Linked DNA regions of Mus musculus: regions 2, 3 and 4 are each reported to be linked to region 1. Evidence: microRNA targets listed by miRTarBase, many of them from high-throughput screens and not tested one by one. Region 1 holds a microRNA gene; each other region holds the end of a gene's coding sequence.
What was found. Region 1 holds the annotated microRNA mmu-miR-5116 (UUUGAUAGGAACCCCGCCUGA, at 2,233-2,253, shown strand). A microRNA usually pairs through its seed, bases 2 to 8, with sites in the 3' UTR of a target mRNA and lowers its output. Matches are read on the target gene's strand: a 7mer-m8 pairs with bases 2 to 8, a 7mer-A1 pairs with bases 2 to 7 and ends in A, and an 8mer does both.

Region 1 (4,162 bases):
GTAGAGGTGCTTAGGAGCCACCCACCCAGCATGGTTGCTGAGAACTAAACCCTGTTCTCTGCAGGAGCAGTACACGTTTTTAATCCTTGAGCTGCCTCTCAAATATTTCCATTTTGAAGGTATTCTTGGGTGGTTAAATGGGGCTAACTTTGAGATTTGGTCTTTTTTTTCCATAAAGAGAAGATTCTCTGGTTTTTTTCAGAAAATAATATTTCAAAGCAAACACTAAAAGTGTTTAAATTAATACTTTTTTAATTTTTTAAATTAATTAAATTAGTGTTTTGAGAAGCCATTAATATCTCAAGATGTTTATGGACTTTTCTAGAGGATACAAATCTCACTGGAAGAGTCTTTGAAGGATCTCAGGCAAGGAGCCAAACCAAATGGCATCAAGTAAGGGGCAGCAGAATCGATGAGTTTGGTCAATAGTACATACAGAAGGCCAAACGGGATTTCATTGTACCTGAAAAACAGATCCGTGAAATCTCATATGGCTTGAAATATCTATGACTTAAGGCCAAAGGAGAATAATCAGAGGTGCAGTGTGTGTGCTGGCATGGAAAGGTGGTATGGTGATTGAAGTTCATCTAGAATGTGTGTGTTATTATTGCTAGACATTCCTGGGAGAATGGCTGAAGAAAAGAAAGTCTGAGAACTTTATGGTCATTTCCAAGTTTCATATATTCTCTGTATAGGAAAAAATATACAGTACAGTGTGATTACTATTTATAGTTTAATTTGTAATTCACAACAAATTCGTAATTCATTAGAAGCCTGCTTACTTTTCAAATGGGCTTTTATAAAGGTTTATCTAAAAATTGGTGTTCTTTTTTCTTTTAAGGACATTTGATACCTTAAGGAATCACCCATCTTTTTATGTGTTTAACCATCGTGGTCGAGTGCTGTTCCGGCCTTCAGATGCAACAAATTCTTCAAACCTAGATGCATTGTCCTCTAATACATCGTTGAAGTTACGAAAGTTTGACTCACTGCGCCGTTAAGCTTTTTACAAATTAAATAACAGGACAGACACAGAATTGAGTATTGGAGTTTGGGGTGTAAAACACTCCCCCCAAGATCAGTATTTATATTGCTATTTCAGAGCTAGTTAAACTAATCTATGGGCCCTTGTTTATATATTATCGATCCGATCAAATGGAGTATGAATTATCTGTGAAATGAGTCTTTGAACTTTCGTATAGAGTTCTTTTGTTGATTTGAAACAATTCCCATGTTTTGTAAAAGTCACTGTTTCAAACATAATTCCCTGAAAAAATGTTCGGATTTTTGTGATTATTTATTTTCATAGATTTCTTTTCTTTTGCACTACAGTTTTTAGGAATCCTGGAAATACCATATACCATCTGTGTTTTGCAGCACAAGAATCAAATGGTCTTCAGTTCTTATCAGACCAACTTCTTTAAGAAGACCAAAATGGTGACTTTACAGTTTTTCTTTGGTCCCCTAAAAAGTGACTCTACTTTTACAGATACTTGCCAATTTTTACTTTATTAATGGTTTCTCTCCGGACTCCACTCCCTGATACTGTCTAACATAAGCTGTCTTGTTTCATCATTTCTAGGATTCTGTGTGCAGTGAGCAATTTTTGTGTCAGAAATTCTATCATAACATATATATTTAACAAGCTCATCTTGCTGTAAAACTACTCATGTTCTTTTGTTGTAAAATTTTCACTGATTGTATAATGTAAGACTAGTTGAAAGTAGACCAAAAAGACAACTTGTGACTTCATTATCTTGCCTGAGTAGAATAGTATTGATTGAGGAAAACTGATCGTCATTAGCCAGTCTCACTCATTATAAGTCTGTTGGTTTATGTTGTACTAAACTAGTGAATTAGTGAAAGTAAAGGAAATGGCTCATTTTATCTAAAGGCACATGTGCAAAGAAACTGGGCCAAATATGTTCTAAATATTTGGAGTTCATCTATTTGAATTCTCTTAGAAAATTCAGGTCATTTAGGAAGTTGGTTCTCAGCTTCTGACTGAGAGCTGGCCTGGAGCTTCCCATCTTCACTCTGCGGTGCTGAGGGGGAGGATGACATGCCATTGGATGCTTTTCAGAAACAGTAGTTTACTCTGACAACATTGGAGTAGCTTTTTCAGCTAGAAAGCTAAGAAGCTCAACATTACTGTAGAGATTATTGCTTCCCACGAGCATGAACACATTACTTGTGTTAAACTCTATAGGTGTAAAGGGAATCACTGCGGATTTTGATAGGAACCCCGCCTGATGCTTTTTGGTTTGTTTCAGGCAGGGTCTTCATATCGAGAAGCTCTTTTACTTGGTAGCATTTTTTGATTAGGAATGAACCTCAGCCTTTCTGCCCAGTCATACAGAGCCTCAAAGGCCAAGGTTATTTTGTCATTTCTTTGTTGGTTTTGGTTTTTGTTTGTAAACAGGATTCCGTATAACCTGAGCTAGCCTCAAATGTACTATGTAGCCGAGGATGATCCTCATGCCTCCACCGTGTCAGTGCTAAGATTATAGGTGCTGTCACTACACCTGGTTTTTTGAGATCCTGGGCACTGAACCCAGGGCCTCATGCATGCTAGGCAAGCACTATACCAGCTGAACTACATCCCAGGCCCTTGACATTGAATTATGATTCTTGAGCTCTGTTTTGCTAACTAAGTCTATGGAGCATTGACTGTTCTCTAATGAGAACAAACTTGGAAATCTGCTGATTACCTACAATAATTTAGACATAGGCTAAAAGTGTGAAGTCAAGCCAGGTGTGGTGGCATGTGCTTGTAATCCTAGCACTTACAAGGCTGAAACAGGATCACAAGTTTAGGGCAGAACTGGGCTATCTTAATGAACCCCTGTCTTAACCCCAACCCCCAAAAAGCGAACCCAAGGACTAATGCGATAGCTAAATCAAAATGGCGTGCAGGACGCATGCTGTACATCAGGCTTTTCTGCCATACTCCTCGACTATTACTTGACTGAAGAGCCTCTTGTTTTCTTCTCCTTGGAGACTGTTTTCCCTTCTTAATGTGTTTTCATAACAATGTTACTGAGAATCTGCGTGTTTTGTACTTCCATTCTTTAAAGGATGTATAATTGCCAGATGTGGCTCATGCCTATAATACTAACACTCAGGAGGCTAAGGCAGGAAAGTTTTCACACAGGTTCAAGACCAGAATTAGATACACAGTGAGACCTTATCTTTAAAGAAGTTATACAAATTTTAAAGGGTACAATTAAGTAACTTTAAATATACTCACAAAATTATGCAACCACTTGATAAATCTAGGCCATTTCACTCCTCTCCAAGAAGCCCTGTATTCTTTAGTAGTCACCTCTGATTTCCTCCCAGTTTGTCCCACGTAGGTCCTAGGAAACCAATAGTTTATTATATGCATAATCTGATCATTTACTATAAATGAGTTAATGCAATATTTAGTCACTTAGTTTCATAAATATGGTTTCCTACGTGGGATAAATGCTCATTCTGAGAACTCAGAACCCAGTACAGTGACAGAAAGTGTCTGGGTTTGTAAATCTGGTAGGAAGCTTGCCTAGCACGTGCGAGACCCTAGGCTCACTCACAGTATCCCAGGAAAAAAAAAAGCTAGTTGATAAATCAATGGATTTAAAGAGGGAAAGCCAGATACCTGGCAGACTCTAGAGTTAATCTTATTAAATAGAGTACTTTTCCTCCTAGCCAAACATTCATTCTATACTACTGCTTCTAACTTACATTCTAGTTCCTCCCAGCTCTGCTTTGGTTTTGCCAAGACAGGGTTTCTCTGTGTAGCCCTGGCTATTCTGGAACTCACTTTGTAGACCAGGCTAGACTCCAACTCACAGAGATCCACCTGCCTCTGCCTTCCAAGTGTTGGGATTAAAGGCGTGCACCATCAGTGCCCAGCCCATTCTCGTTTCTACAATGGATATTAAAATGTCTTCTTGTCTTCTCAGCCAAGAAAATCCTGCTTAAAAAAATGCTAAAACATTTGGCCGATAACTGACATGGTAAATTTATTTAGACGTGTCCACCTTTGGACAGCTTGCATACCTCAGACCAGGTAAATAGCCCCAGGTTTTTAAATCGACTTCATTGAATTTCTGCTATCTTCTTGAAATATGGTACTATACGACTAAGTCAGATTTGGGTGTGTTGTAACAGTGCTAAG
Region 2 (4,162 bases), not on the chromosome of region 1:
ATCCAGCCCAAGTCCAACTCTAAGGGTCCAGTCAGGACCAGACACTTTAGGTGAAAGGACTTAAGAGCAAGATCCCAGCTGGGATCTTCACAGCCTTGTGTGGGCCAACACCTCTCCCAGGAAGTAAAGACCCACTTCTTTGCTCCATAGTCTGCCTGAGTCTGTGCAGCGAGGCAGCTCTGAGCCACAAAGTCAAGTTTGGGCAATGCAAGTCAGCCCCACCCTCCACCTCCTTATTTAGGGCCCCGAGGGCACCCTTTCTGACAGACATGGCTGGAAGATGTAGCCCGCAGCGCCCACAGGATAAGTCCAGGGCCCCCAGACACTTTTTGGAAAGGATTTCTAGGAAGGAGCCCCTTATTGAGGCGCTCTGGGGATTTGGGGTTCTGGAATGGAGGGAGCAAAAAAGACAATGGGCAGCTTTTCCACCTGCCTAGCTCCTGCGAGACACCTAAGACTTGCAGCACCTAAAGAACTTTATCTACCTGCGCCCCCCACCCCCAACTATTGTGGGAGATAACCCAAAGGGGGAAAGCTCACAGTTCTCACACCTCCCCCACCCCAGCCACACCCAGGAGCAGCGGGGAGGAAGTCGGGAAAATCCTGCAGGGACTTGGCAAAGTGCCTCGGCAGGGAGAGGAGGGGGCCCAGCGGGGGGATCCCATGAACACACGGTACTCTGAAGGAAGTCACCATCCTTCTCATTCCCAAAGAGTAAGAACAAATCCTGTTTCCAGCGAAGCGATTTGAGGGACGAGGAGAACCAGCAACGGATATTCCGAGGGTATCGACCCCATACCTATTCCAAGGTGCTCTCAAATTCAGCTGCAGTTGAAACAGAGCTAATTCTACCGTATGGCAGGAGAAACCCAGTCCTTTGAGCCCCTGCGCCTCGAGCACAGGAAACTCAGCCACAGCCCTCTGCCCATTTCTCTGCTCCGGCTCGGACACGCGTTCGCTGCAGCACCTTACGCAGGCTCCCCGGGTTGCAGATTAGACCACACACCCCTGACTCCCTGCAGACCACCCCTCGCCCTGGTAAAGGCCTCGCCACAGGTCGACTTCGTCCCCCCTCGTGCCTCCCCGAGCCCTATTCGTTCCTTTTGGCGAAGGTGTACACTTGTTCCCAACAAGAAAGAGGGGCTCTGGACAAGGGTGGGGGCGGGCACGACAGCAACCGGGGCCTGGACGCCGTGAAAGGAGCCACAGCGGCCCCGCAGTAACTTTCGCACCGAGCGGCGGAGTTTTCCGGGACCCGAGCGCCCCCCCCCCCCGGAGGCTCGGCGGTCGCCGAGGGAGCTCCAGCTGGGGCCGCAGAAACGTGCCGGGTTCGTTCCCACGGCTTGGGGACGGGGTCGCAGCGGGGCGGCCGGCACGCGAAGGGCGGGCCTCGGGGACGGGGACCACGGGGGAGAGGAGCCCCGGGCTGGGAATCCAGAGGGCTGGGTCTCGTGGGGTCCGGCCGGGGCCCACCTTGCAGGAGTAGGTGTGCTGCACCGGGTCCACGTTGAGGATCTCCTCCACTGTGCCGGTGAGCACCACGTTCGCCTCCTCCTCGCGCCGCTCCAAGGCGCGCTCCGGGCACGTCCCGCTGGCGCCCGGCACGGCTGGCGCGGCCGCCGCCAGGAGCAGCAGCAGCGGCAGCAGCGGGGCCGGGAAGCTCAGCCGCGGGCGGACCATGGCGCAGCCCGGAACGGCGGGAGGGAGCCGGGAGAGCGCGCGGGCCGGACCGCTCGGGGGGCAGGACTGGACCGCAGCGCGGCGGAGGAGGAGGGAGGGCGGACGGCGTGGGTGGGGCGGGGACTGGGCGGGGACGGGGCGGGGACGGCGTGGGTGGGGCGGGGACTGGGCGGGGACGGGGCGGGGACTGGGCGGGGACTGGCGGCCCCGCCCCGCCCCCTGAGGGCTCAGCCCGCCCCCCGCTCCCTGCGACCCGCGCGGGCAGCGAACAAAGCCCGGAGACTGCGGCGCCCGCCGAGCTGGGGCGGGGGCTCGGCCGGGTGGGTGGGTGGGTGGCCGCCTTGGGGGAGGGGGAGGCGTCGCGCCGGGGCCCCTCCCCCGTCCGCCTGAACTGTCCTCCCACCGGGAAATGCAGCTGAAGTCAGGTTGATGTATAATCGAGGGGCGACGTGCTGGGAATTCCAAGGGGCTCGCCCGGTCTGCACAGGAGACGCTGGCGGAGCCGGACCTTCCCTTCCCCAGCCTGACGCTAGGGCTGCGCGCAGAGGGCCCCGCGGCTGTCCCGGTGCCACCACAGGCCACGCCCCCTGCCGATGGCCGGTCAGCGGTGACTGTGCCGAATGCGCCCAGACCCGCCCAGTGTGATGCTCCTTGTGGACTTAAGTCTTCTCCAGTCTTGCTACAGAACCGTCCCCGCCCCCTCCGTCTCTCCCTCTGTGGACCAGAGCTTCCCCAGCTTGGCCTGGCTAAGTGCAGGATATAAACCGAGGCCCCCGGGAGCCAAGCTAGCACTAGACCTACAGGAGGTTGAAAGAACGCGCAGGGCGGTGGTGGCGCACTCGGGAGGCAGAGGCAGGTGGATTTCTGAGTTCGAGGCCAGCCTGGTCTACAAAGTGAGTTCCAGGACAGCCAGGGCTACACAGAGAAACCCTGTCTCAAAAAACCAAAAACAAAACAAACAAACCGAGAGAATGGGTGGGGGGGGGGGGGATAGGGGATTTTCTGGATAGCATTTGAAATGTAAGTGAAGAAAAAAATTTTGGAAAAAAAAAAAAACAAAAAAAAAACGAGAGAAGACACTATGCTATCTTCCATAGGCTGTTGAGCCAGAAGCCAGAGTGAAGTGTGAGTGTCAGCAGCTCTTCCTCCTGAGAAAGACTCCACCTTCTGGACCCAGATTTGAGGTCGCATCTACACAGTGGGCTCCAGCGTTGCTAGATCTGGCATCACCTAATCCAGATAAGCACAAACACACCAACCAGAAGGGGGTCTTCTGAGGTTCCACTCAAATTCTCTTAAAGGTCTGAAGGACCACAGAAGGACTTGTACTGACTTGCTTGTGCCCTAAGCGCACTCAAAGGCCCGAGTAAGCTGATAGAGGAAAAGACAAAGAGCCATCAGGCAGAAAGGGGGGTGAAGCTTTTTCAAATTGGGTGCCTCCTATCTGAGACATGATGTCCTTTGTGGACAGATGAGCCTCCAATTACTTGTGCCCATCTAACCTGCCTATAGTGGCCTCTTTATAGCCCCGATGAGGATGAGGTGTACTTGCTAACTACCATGTCCTAAACAGCAGGTGGCTGATTTGAATGGTGAGACCCCATCCTACCCTCTGTGAACTAGTGCAGGTGGGACTAGGAACACATACAAAAGAACACATCACCCTCCTTCACAGCTTACCCAGGTAAGAACATTCCTTCACTGTTCCCAAAGGATCTCAGCAGTTCACTGGTTCCATTAGGAGCCTCATCCTGCTACTGGTAGAAACTGGCCTAACCTGTCCCTGAGCCATATGTAGACATGGGGACATTTTTAGGGCCTGGCTGAGACTAAGGACTGGGTCCCAGCAAAAGTGTCTTTCTCCAGAAGTGAATTAATTACTCAAAGGGTCTGGAAGGGGCATTTCCTCACTAGGCTCTCACTGTGAAATCCTTGTCTCTTAACTTGGCAACCCAGAGCCTTCTCACCATGGATAGAAGGGCATTTCTGGAGAGGGACAAGCAAACAAGAGGCAGAGCTTTTTATTGCATCATCTTTTTTTTTTTTTGATATTTTTTCTAATTAGGTATTTTCCTCGTTTACATTTCCAATGCTATCCCAAAAGTCCTCCATACCCCCCCCCCCATCATCTTTTATAACCAACACTGGCTCTGGATGGGGGCCTTAGGCACACTGGTCCCCTCCCCCACCCCTCAGGCGCAAATGCTTGATCACTGTGCACTGGGGCTTTAGGCCATACTCCCCCAGCAGCTCCTTGTCCTCCATGGGCCTTCCCTCGAAGCTCAGCCAGAACTGGTCTTCGTGGACTTGTTCCCGCTGGGACACCTTCTTCTTAAGCGTGTCTACAGTCTGCGTCAGAAAGACCTCATAGATGTTGCTGTGGCCCCTTTCGTTCCTCACCAGGATGCTCAGAGGCTCGCTGCAGTTCTGTACCACTAGCATCACTGTGCTGCTGGGACCCAGACCCAGACTGGAAAGGGTA
Region 3 (4,162 bases), not on the chromosome of region 1:
AACCCCCATTGCACAGCACTTTTTTTTTTTAAGATTTATTTATTATATCTAAGTACACTGTAGCTGTCTTCAGACACTCCAGAAGAGGGCGTCAGATCTCATTACAGGTGGTTGTGAGCCACCATGTGGTTGCTGGGATTTAAACTCAGGACCTTTGGACAAGCAGTCAGTGCTCTTAACCGCTGAGCCATCTCGCCAGCCCCTGTGCAGCACTTTGAAACGCACACTCCACACATGAGTCTTCTGTGGCTGTGGGAGTCTAAAGTGAGGGAGACACAGGCACAGGCTGGTAGCCTGGGACGTGGCGATCCTTTTATCCGTCTTCACGAGTAGTACAGACTCAGGACGAAGGGTGACATACTTACCCAGCCTCTTGCCTTGTAGGTGTGTACTGGGAAACACCACCATCTTGGCTGAGTTTGCCGGGGAAGAAGAAGTGAACCGGTTCCTGGCCCAAGGCCAAGCCCTCCCACCCACCTCCAGCTGGCAGTCCAGCAGCGGGGGCAGCCAGCCCAGACTGGGCACCTCGGGCAGCACCCATGGCCTAGTGCGCAGCGACACTGCCCACTGGAACACCCCATGCCTGAGTGGCAAAGGCAGCAGTGAGCTGCTGTGGGGTGGGGTCCCCCAGTACTCCAGCAGCCTGTGGGGCCCGCCCAGTGCTGAGGACGCCAGAGTGATCGGCAGCCCCACGCCTCTCAACACTCTGCTGCCTGGGGACCTGCTCAGCGGCGAGTCCATCTAGGGGCCACGGTCACTGGGGGAAGAGAGCTGACCATGCCAGGGCCGGCTCCGAAGCTCCAGCTGACGGACAAGCTGCCCCTTGGAGTACCTCTGTCCAGTCTGAAGATGAACCTTGGCCTCGGCCCCTGTGAACTGTTGAAGACAGTGCGGGCTGAGGTTGGTCAGTGTCATGTGCTAAGGACAGGACGTCTCTCATAGCTTTTTATTTCATGTCGTCTTAGGTTTGTACAGTGCGCTGCCATTTTGAGTTTTAAGTATAAAAGCTGCTTAGAATAGTTCTATCATGAAGGGCACTTTTCAGATTGTGGGCTGGAAAGGGTTATTTTATGGTGGGGTGGGGGGAGACTTGAAGCCTATTTAAAGTGAGCCTGTGACGATTATGCACATTACAGAGGCGGTAGGCGGGACAGGCGGCTGGGCTGCGTTGTGCGGGCACAGAGCTGAGGCGTGTGGCCAGTGCTCTGTCCCCCCGATCGCCTGCGCACATTACCCTCGTTTCGTTACCTTTTCATGTCATTTTTTTTTATCCCAAAAAAATATTTTTTAAAAGTTAAAAAAAAAAAGACATATCAAACATGCAAATACTTGAACCCAGCAGGCCAATACCGAAATGTGAACACTTCCACGTTGACATCCGTGCACAGAAACAGGCTCTAGGAAATGTCTACGTTCATAGCCTACATGTGCGTGTATGCGTGAGTGCGTGTGCTTGTGTGCTTGTGTGGTGCGGTGTGCAGAAGAGTGTGTGTGAGTGTGTTCTTGCACAGGCAGGGCTTCCTGTGCGTGCGTGCGCACTTGAGTGTGTGAGGGACTTAACTGTGGGTTTCCCTTCTAGTCAGTATATGCTTTTGGTTTTGGTTTTTTTGGGGGTTTTTGTTTTTGTTTGTTTTGTTTTTTGTTTTTGGCATTGGTCAAATGTTCTCATTGTTGTTATTTGCTTCTAACTTTGCACTGAGGTGTCTCTGCCCTTCCTTTAGCTAATCCTAAACAGTAAAGAGAATTCTCGGGACAGGGCTGGTGACAATTCATGTGTAAATGTTTACTCAAGGACTCTGTTGTTGCATTTAAAGTCGCAGTGTATATCTCTGGAGAAATGATGTGTCTGTCTACTTCAGCAGCTTGTCATTGTGGACTCATGCAGAAGATTATTACCAGAGTATTGCACCACTTCCCATCTGCAATATAAAGTTAAAGAGAAAAACAAACTCTTGTTGAACTGTGGCCATAGATACTTGTAGAGACTGGTGCCGCGCACGAGGCGCGGGCGGGCGGGCGGCCGGCCGAGCACTTGGACGTGGTGGTGACTGCTTTTGGAGGAGCTGTGTTTGGGCTCCCACCTGTTTACAGACTTTTTTTTTTTTTTTTTCCTCCTTCAGACTTTAAAATAAAATTTTAAAAAAATTTTAAAAATGTTAAAAGGAATAAAAAAAAAAGACTTCCATCATTTAAAACAAACAAGCAAACAAACAGCAACCTATTTTCAGATACAGATGTGTTGCTCCAGAGCTCTGGGATGGGACATGCTGTTCCCCTCCAGCCGTCGCGCGTGCGCGGACTCTGTGGACTGTCTTCACCCCTCCTCAAGGTGACAGGGCCTCGTGGTCTCTGTCTTGCACACGCCAGCTCGCTCTCAGGAACGCCAGGGCTCCCGAGGGCGGTGCCACACCACTTCATGTATTTTTAAACCCAACTCCTAGCACTGAAGATGTTATTTAAAAAAAAAAAAAAAAAAAAAGAGAGAGAAAAAAAAAGAAAGAAAAGAAAAAAACACACACACACACACAAAGAAGAAAAATACCTAATCTCTAATGTGTAGCAGTTACATATTTACCAAATAATGGACTCAAAAGAAATAGATGTTTGAAGAGTGCTTTATATATTAAAAATTGCTTTATGTTTTAAAGATGATCAATGTTTTGATTGTTTTACAAGGAAGAAAGACAATGAAATCACACACCCTCAAGTATGTTTTAGAAAAGTATATGAACATTGTACTCCCTGCCTACGTGGTCGGGAAACTTGTGCATTACATTTTTTAATTAGCTTTTTAATGGTTTTATCAAAACAGAAAGCAAGCAAGCAAGTCCTGCACGGTTGCAGCAACGCAGTGCTTTCTTAGAGGATCAGGAACTATGCACAACTGGGTTCAAAACTTGTTCGAGTTTTGTTATGTATCCCACGGAATGGCCCTCCTCAGAGTGACTGCATCTCATCGCCATTACGTGCGTCCTAGATATTTGATGTATGTATATCCAAGTATGTATATCAAATACGTGCGTGTGCGCGCTCCCAGACGCACAGCTTGCCATGCTGCCATTTAGCACTGAGTTGTAGAAAAACTCATGTTTTAAAACTGGGGATGGAAGGAAAAGATGTTCCCAGTTTTTGTGGGCTTTCCCCTCTTTTTCCTTTTTGATCCTTTTGAATTTTAAATGTCTCTGACTCTAAGATTAAAAGAAAAAGTTTGTGGCGCTTAATGCCCTCCTCTTGGAATGTGATGGTTGGACGCACACCGGAGGTTGCTTTCGAAAAATAACAGCGCTTTGTTGAGTCTTAATAAACTGCAGTTTTTCTTGGCTATTGATGTAATTGCTGTGTCTTTCATCTGTGAAAGGCAGGTGCTTCCTTTTCATGTGTGGAGACAGCCTACTATGTCTCTGCTGAGTTTGTACTCGTCTCTGCCGAAACTCGCAGTCTGGGCCATTTGAGGTGTTTGTATGTAGCCTTTGCTCTTTGGTTCTGCTGCGAATAGTGGATCCTTTTAGTAGCCATTGGGAGGCGTCCCAGCTTCCACGTCCTCCCAGGACCACCACCCCACAGTCACTCACACGCCCAGTGCCAGCATTTTAAGAAAAAACAGTAATCGTAATGGAGAGGCTGGGGTGTCGCTCAGTGGTCTTCGTGTGCAGGCACAAGGCCCTAGTTCCATCCCCAACACTATCTGGAAAAAACCAGTGGTATGTATCTGCAGTCCCAGCACACAAGAGGCTGTGCCTGAGTCCACAGGCTCAAGACCAAGTCAGACAACACAGCAAGACCCAACATGTGCTTCCCAAGTGTTTTATTGATCTCTTTCCCCTAAAACCATAGTGGCTAATGTGCACAAAATGGCATGGCTGCCAGCAGGATCATGGGTGACACGGGAAGTAGAAACATGATGTCAGCTTTCACCCTCGAATATCGACCCACTATGTGCTGAGGATGAGCCCTGGCCTACCAGGGGACTCAGGAAAGAACAGGAGCTGCTAGTTCTGCTAAGAAAATCACTGAGGAGGCCCCTGGCCCCAGGAGAACCCAAAGACCAGAGGAAGAACGAGACTCAGAATGGCACGCTGCCCTTGATCTTCCAAGAACTGCAGCTCTGCTGGCCAGAGCACCAGCGGAAGAGCAGGCAAGGCCAGACTAGTAGCAGCCTGCG
Region 4 (4,162 bases), not on the chromosome of region 1:
TGAATTTTTGCTTGCATGAATAGGATATACCATATGCATGCCCTGCACTTGGAGGCCAGAGGGAGGCATCGGATCTGTTGCAACTGGAGTTATGAGTGGTTGTGAGCTATGCTGTGGGTGCTGAGAACCTAACCCTGGTCCTTTGCAACAGCAGTGAACTCTCTTAACAATAGAGTCATCTCTCAAGTTCCCAATCTTATGATTTTTAAAAGTTGCACTTGGGAGGCTGAGGCAAGTAATCTCTAGGAACTCAAGGTTAGCCTGGTCTATATAGCAAGCACCAGGTCCTTCAAAGCTACATAGTGAGACCCTGTCTCAAAGAGAGATGGAGGCATATATATGTGTTTATGTATACACACACACATATACTCATCCAACAGTCTTTACATAGCCCTGGCTATCTTGGAACTCACCAAGTAGACCAGGTTGGCCTTGAAATGACAAAAAACTACCAGTCTCTTGTCTCCTGAGTGCTGGGATTAAAGGTGTATTCTACCACACCCAGCAAGAGATGAGGTTAACATTTTTTAAAATATTTATTTATGTATGAGTACACTGTAGCTGTACAGATGGTTATGAGACATCATGTAGTTGCTGGGAATTGAAATCTGGACCTCTGCTCACTCCTGCCCCACTTGCTGTGGTCCAAAGATTTATTTATTATTATATGTAAATACACAGTAGCTGTCTTCAGACACACCAGAAGAGGGCAGCAGATCTCATTATGGATGGTTGTGAGCCACCATGTAGTTGCTGGGATTTGAACTCAGGACCTAAGGAAGAGTAGTCAGTGCTCGTAACCTCTGAACCATCTCTCCAGCCCCCGAGGTTAAAACTTTTTAATGTGGGTGCCCATGGAGAACAGAAGAGGGAATCAGATGCCCTGAAGCTGGGTTATAGGTGGTTGTGAGACACCTAATGTGAGCATTGGGAACCAAATTCTAGTCCTAGATTTGTGTGTGAGGGCAGCACATGTTCTTAAGTACTGAGCCTCCATCTTAGTTTTCCAGACAGTTTTCATTGAAGGTAGTTTTGTCATTTTGGCTAGAATGGCTGTTCGGTGAGTCCTAGGTCCTGCCTCTGTCCGGCAGTACCTGGCATTTTGTTTAGTTCTGGAGACCTGAACTTAACCCTTCATGCTTGCATGAAAAGAAAATACCTCCTAAAGCATCTCCCAGCCCAGTCTACTTAGTCTTCTTCTTGTTGGAAAGTCGAAAGTCAGTAGATGTATCTTCTTATTCATTTATAGGTGTATAAGTGTTGTGAATATTTTGTTGTTTAAAAAAAAAAAAACAGAGGGGGCTGGAGAAAGGGCTCAGCAATTAAGAGCACTGACTGCAGCTGGGTATTGGTGGTACAGGCCTTTAATCCCAGCACTTGGGAGGCAGAGACAGGTGGATTTCTGAGTTTGAGGCCAGCCTGGTCTACAGAGTGAGTTCCAGGACAGCCAGGGCTACACAGAGAAACCCTGTCTTGAAAGACAATCAAACAAACAAACAAAAAAGAGCACTGACTGCTCTTCCAGAAGTTCTGAGTTCAATTCTCACAACCACATGGTGGTTCACAACCATCTGTAATGGAATCCAATGTTCTCGTCTGGTCTGTTGAAGACAGCAACAGTGTACTCATATACATAAAATAAACCTTAAAAAAAACCCACAGAAATGTAAGAATATGCTTTCATGTTAATCCCAGGTATAGGATGTGGGGCTGCTTCAGACCGTCCACAGCAGCTGATGTGCCTCATGCTCTAGCAGGGGCATGATTTTGCCAACTGCAGGTAGTTTCTGCAATGGTGTGATGTTTGGAATTCTGGGGACTTTTCACAGGGTATATAAATGTTAGGCCCCAAAGGTAGGTTGGTGGCCAAAGTTTGTTAAGTAGTCATGTGCAAAGAAGAAATTAGATATCCTGATGGCAAAGATCAAATTTGTCCCAATGCCCCTAGTCAGCAGGGAGTAATATAATGATAACTTTGCCCCCTTTTCCTTCTATCCTTTTCTCTTCTATCTAGTGTTAAGGTGTCAAAAGGGTGGAAGAAAAAAAGAACCCACAAACTAGCCAAAGTTCAGCTCAGAGGTGTTTTACCTGCATGCATGTAACCACAGATCTGTCCTGGGAATTGAACCCAGGTCCTTTTAGAGCAACCAGTGCTCTTAGCCTCTGAGCCATCTCTCCAGCCTGGCCAATAAGTATTTATTTAAGGTATTTCACACGATTCTTTTGCTTATCAACATCACTGAAGTTCAAGATTCTCAACACCACCTTTTCTCAAAGAACTGATGCTTAATTCAGCTGTGCCATTGGTCTTTTTTAAAAGATTTATTTGTATTGTCTGTCTGCCTGTGATCATGGATGTGAGATCCCTGGAGATGGATACAGGTGTCTGCCTGTGATCATGGATGCGAGATCCCTGGAGATGGATACAGGTGTCTGCCTGTGATCATGGATGCCAGATCCCTGGAGATGGATACAGGGGTCTGTGAGCTGCCTTTTGTGGGAGTCGCAAAAGGGTCTTCTGGGAAAGCAGCTAAATCCTCTTAACCAGTAGAGTTAAGCCATTCATTCGCCTGGCTTGGTCTGGTGGCCCATGCCTTTAATTCCCGTGATTGGCCAGAGGCAGACAGATCTCTGAGTCTGAGGCCAGCCTGGACTACAAAGTTAAGTTCTAGGACAGCTGGGGCTACACAGAGAAACCCGGTCTCAAAAGACAAACAAAAGACAGGCAGAGAGGGTCTCACTATGTGGCTGATACTGACCTCAAACTCAGTCAAATCCCCAAGTACAAGGATTGCAGGTTCTCCACCTCAGCACTACCTTCCAGCCTGAGCAGCTGCTTCCACTGAGGGCCCAGCTTCTCCAAAGCAGAAGCTACCAATGTCCAATGTGTACGGGTCACGTTAGGGGACATGGTGAGGCTGGACCCCGGAGAAAGATGGAGCCTGTGGAAATGAGTCAGTCCCTGGTTCCATCACCCGTTACCACAGAGAAAATGCTCTGGACAGTAAGGAAGGTTTTGTGGTCCAGATTCAGAGCCTAGCCTCTTGTCACCAATTGGGAAAATTGAGGCTAGTCCCTGTAAAGCAGAAAAGAGGCACTTCAAGCCTCTTAAGTATGTTTCCTCCGCCAAGAGAAGCTCAGGCAAAACCTTAAAGCTGGGCCTCCGGAGAGCAACACCACAAAGACTTCTTTCCCTGGCCTAAAAACCTGCTTGGTGCCGGATTTCCCACTGAGCTGCAAACAATTTTGAATCAGGCCCATCTGGTTCAAAACTGGGACATTCGAGGAGAGGTAGTGGCTCTAACCCTCCCCTCAGGATCTCTCTCAACACATTCCCAGAAACCAGCACCTGATTTTCCCCATATCTCTCCAGAACCCCGAGAACATCACTTTAATGTCACCCTATCATTTAAATTGATGACCTGCTTCAAGCTACCAGGGCACTCTCTCCAAGCCTGCTCCTAGACTCCTGATAGCCTCTTGCCACTAACTCCCACACACCAAAAAAAAAATTTTTTTTTTTTTGATAAATAAGACCATGGAGGGTGAGCAAGGAGACCGCAAGGTGGAAAGGTATAAAACATGATAGAATGAACGTGGACATACAATCTGAAGAACAAGTCACAGTGCACTGAGCCATGAGAACACCCCTCCCGCAAACCACCCCACCCAAATCCTCCGTTTCTGAAAGGATGTTGGTGACCAGTCCCGAGGTCCCCAGGATCCGGGAAGCAGCAGGGTCCTGAGCACTACACAATGCACTGGTCACACAGACAGCTCCGCTGTTTTCCCAAGTACTGCTGCAAGGGCTTGGGATGTTGAGTATGGGATCAAAATGGTAGCAAGGGCTGGAGCCATACCACGGGAGAGAGATTCACACGGAGGATCTGCTGGGCACACTGTCGGACCTCGTCATCTGAGCACTTCCTGTCTACCTTTATGGTCTGGGACTTTCGAGGTTTTGCCGTTCCAGGCCCCAGCCACACCTTAGGAGGTCGGGGCACACACCGTGCTCTCTTCTTAGGAGGAAGACCCTTGGTCTCCTCGGCCTTCTTCCTCTTCCGCCCCACAGTCTCAGAGCTGTTTTTCCGGTTTGCCCTTCCAGTTCTGGTCTGAACCGATCCCTTTGGCTTTCCCTTGTGCTTGGTCTGGGCTGCTTTGG

Region 2: miRTarBase lists Isg15 as a target of mmu-miR-5116. Seed matches in the 3' UTR shown: 7mer-A1 at 3,725-3,731.
Region 3: the mRNA of Tnrc6c is a reported target of mmu-miR-5116. Seed matches in the 3' UTR shown: 7mer-A1 at 1,312-1,318, 7mer-A1 at 2,802-2,808 and 7mer-A1 at 3,008-3,014.
Region 4: miRTarBase lists Ccdc71 as a target of mmu-miR-5116. Seed matches in the 3' UTR shown: 7mer-A1 at 3,523-3,529.

What each region holds. Positions count from the first base shown.
Region 1 is chrX:56,585,983-56,590,144 of GRCm38, reverse strand. It overlaps Mir5116 (microRNA 5116), which reads left to right and starts at 2,231; the gene lies at 2,231-2,293. It overlaps Mmgt1 (membrane magnesium transporter 1), which reads left to right. Exons shown (of 4, transcript NM_146234.4): 4 at 842-4,162. The coding sequence ends at 1,001.
Region 2 is chr4:156,195,741-156,199,902 of GRCm38, forward strand. Isg15 (ISG15 ubiquitin-like modifier) reads right to left here. Exons shown (of 2, transcript NM_015783.3): 2 at 3,684-4,162. The coding sequence ends at 3,844. It overlaps Agrn (agrin), which reads right to left and starts at 1,748. Exons shown (of 36, transcript NM_021604.3): 1 at 1,474-1,748. The coding sequence starts at 1,680. It overlaps Gm46878 (a long non-coding RNA gene), which reads left to right. Exons shown (of 4, transcript XR_003955191.1): 4 at 2,778-3,763.
Region 3 is chr11:117,760,107-117,764,268 of GRCm38, forward strand. It overlaps Tnrc6c (trinucleotide repeat containing 6C), which reads left to right. Exons shown (of 22, transcript NM_198022.2): 22 at 385-3,333. The coding sequence ends at 745. Among named protein-coding and RNA genes, the nearest start is that of Tmc6, 19 kb to the right of the region's middle.
Region 4 is chr9:108,463,960-108,468,121 of GRCm38, reverse strand. Ccdc71 (coiled-coil domain containing 71) reads right to left here. Exons shown (of 2, transcript NM_133744.5): 2 at 2,176-4,162. The coding sequence ends at 3,831. Among named protein-coding and RNA genes, the nearest start is that of Ccdc71, 5.5 kb to the right of the region's middle.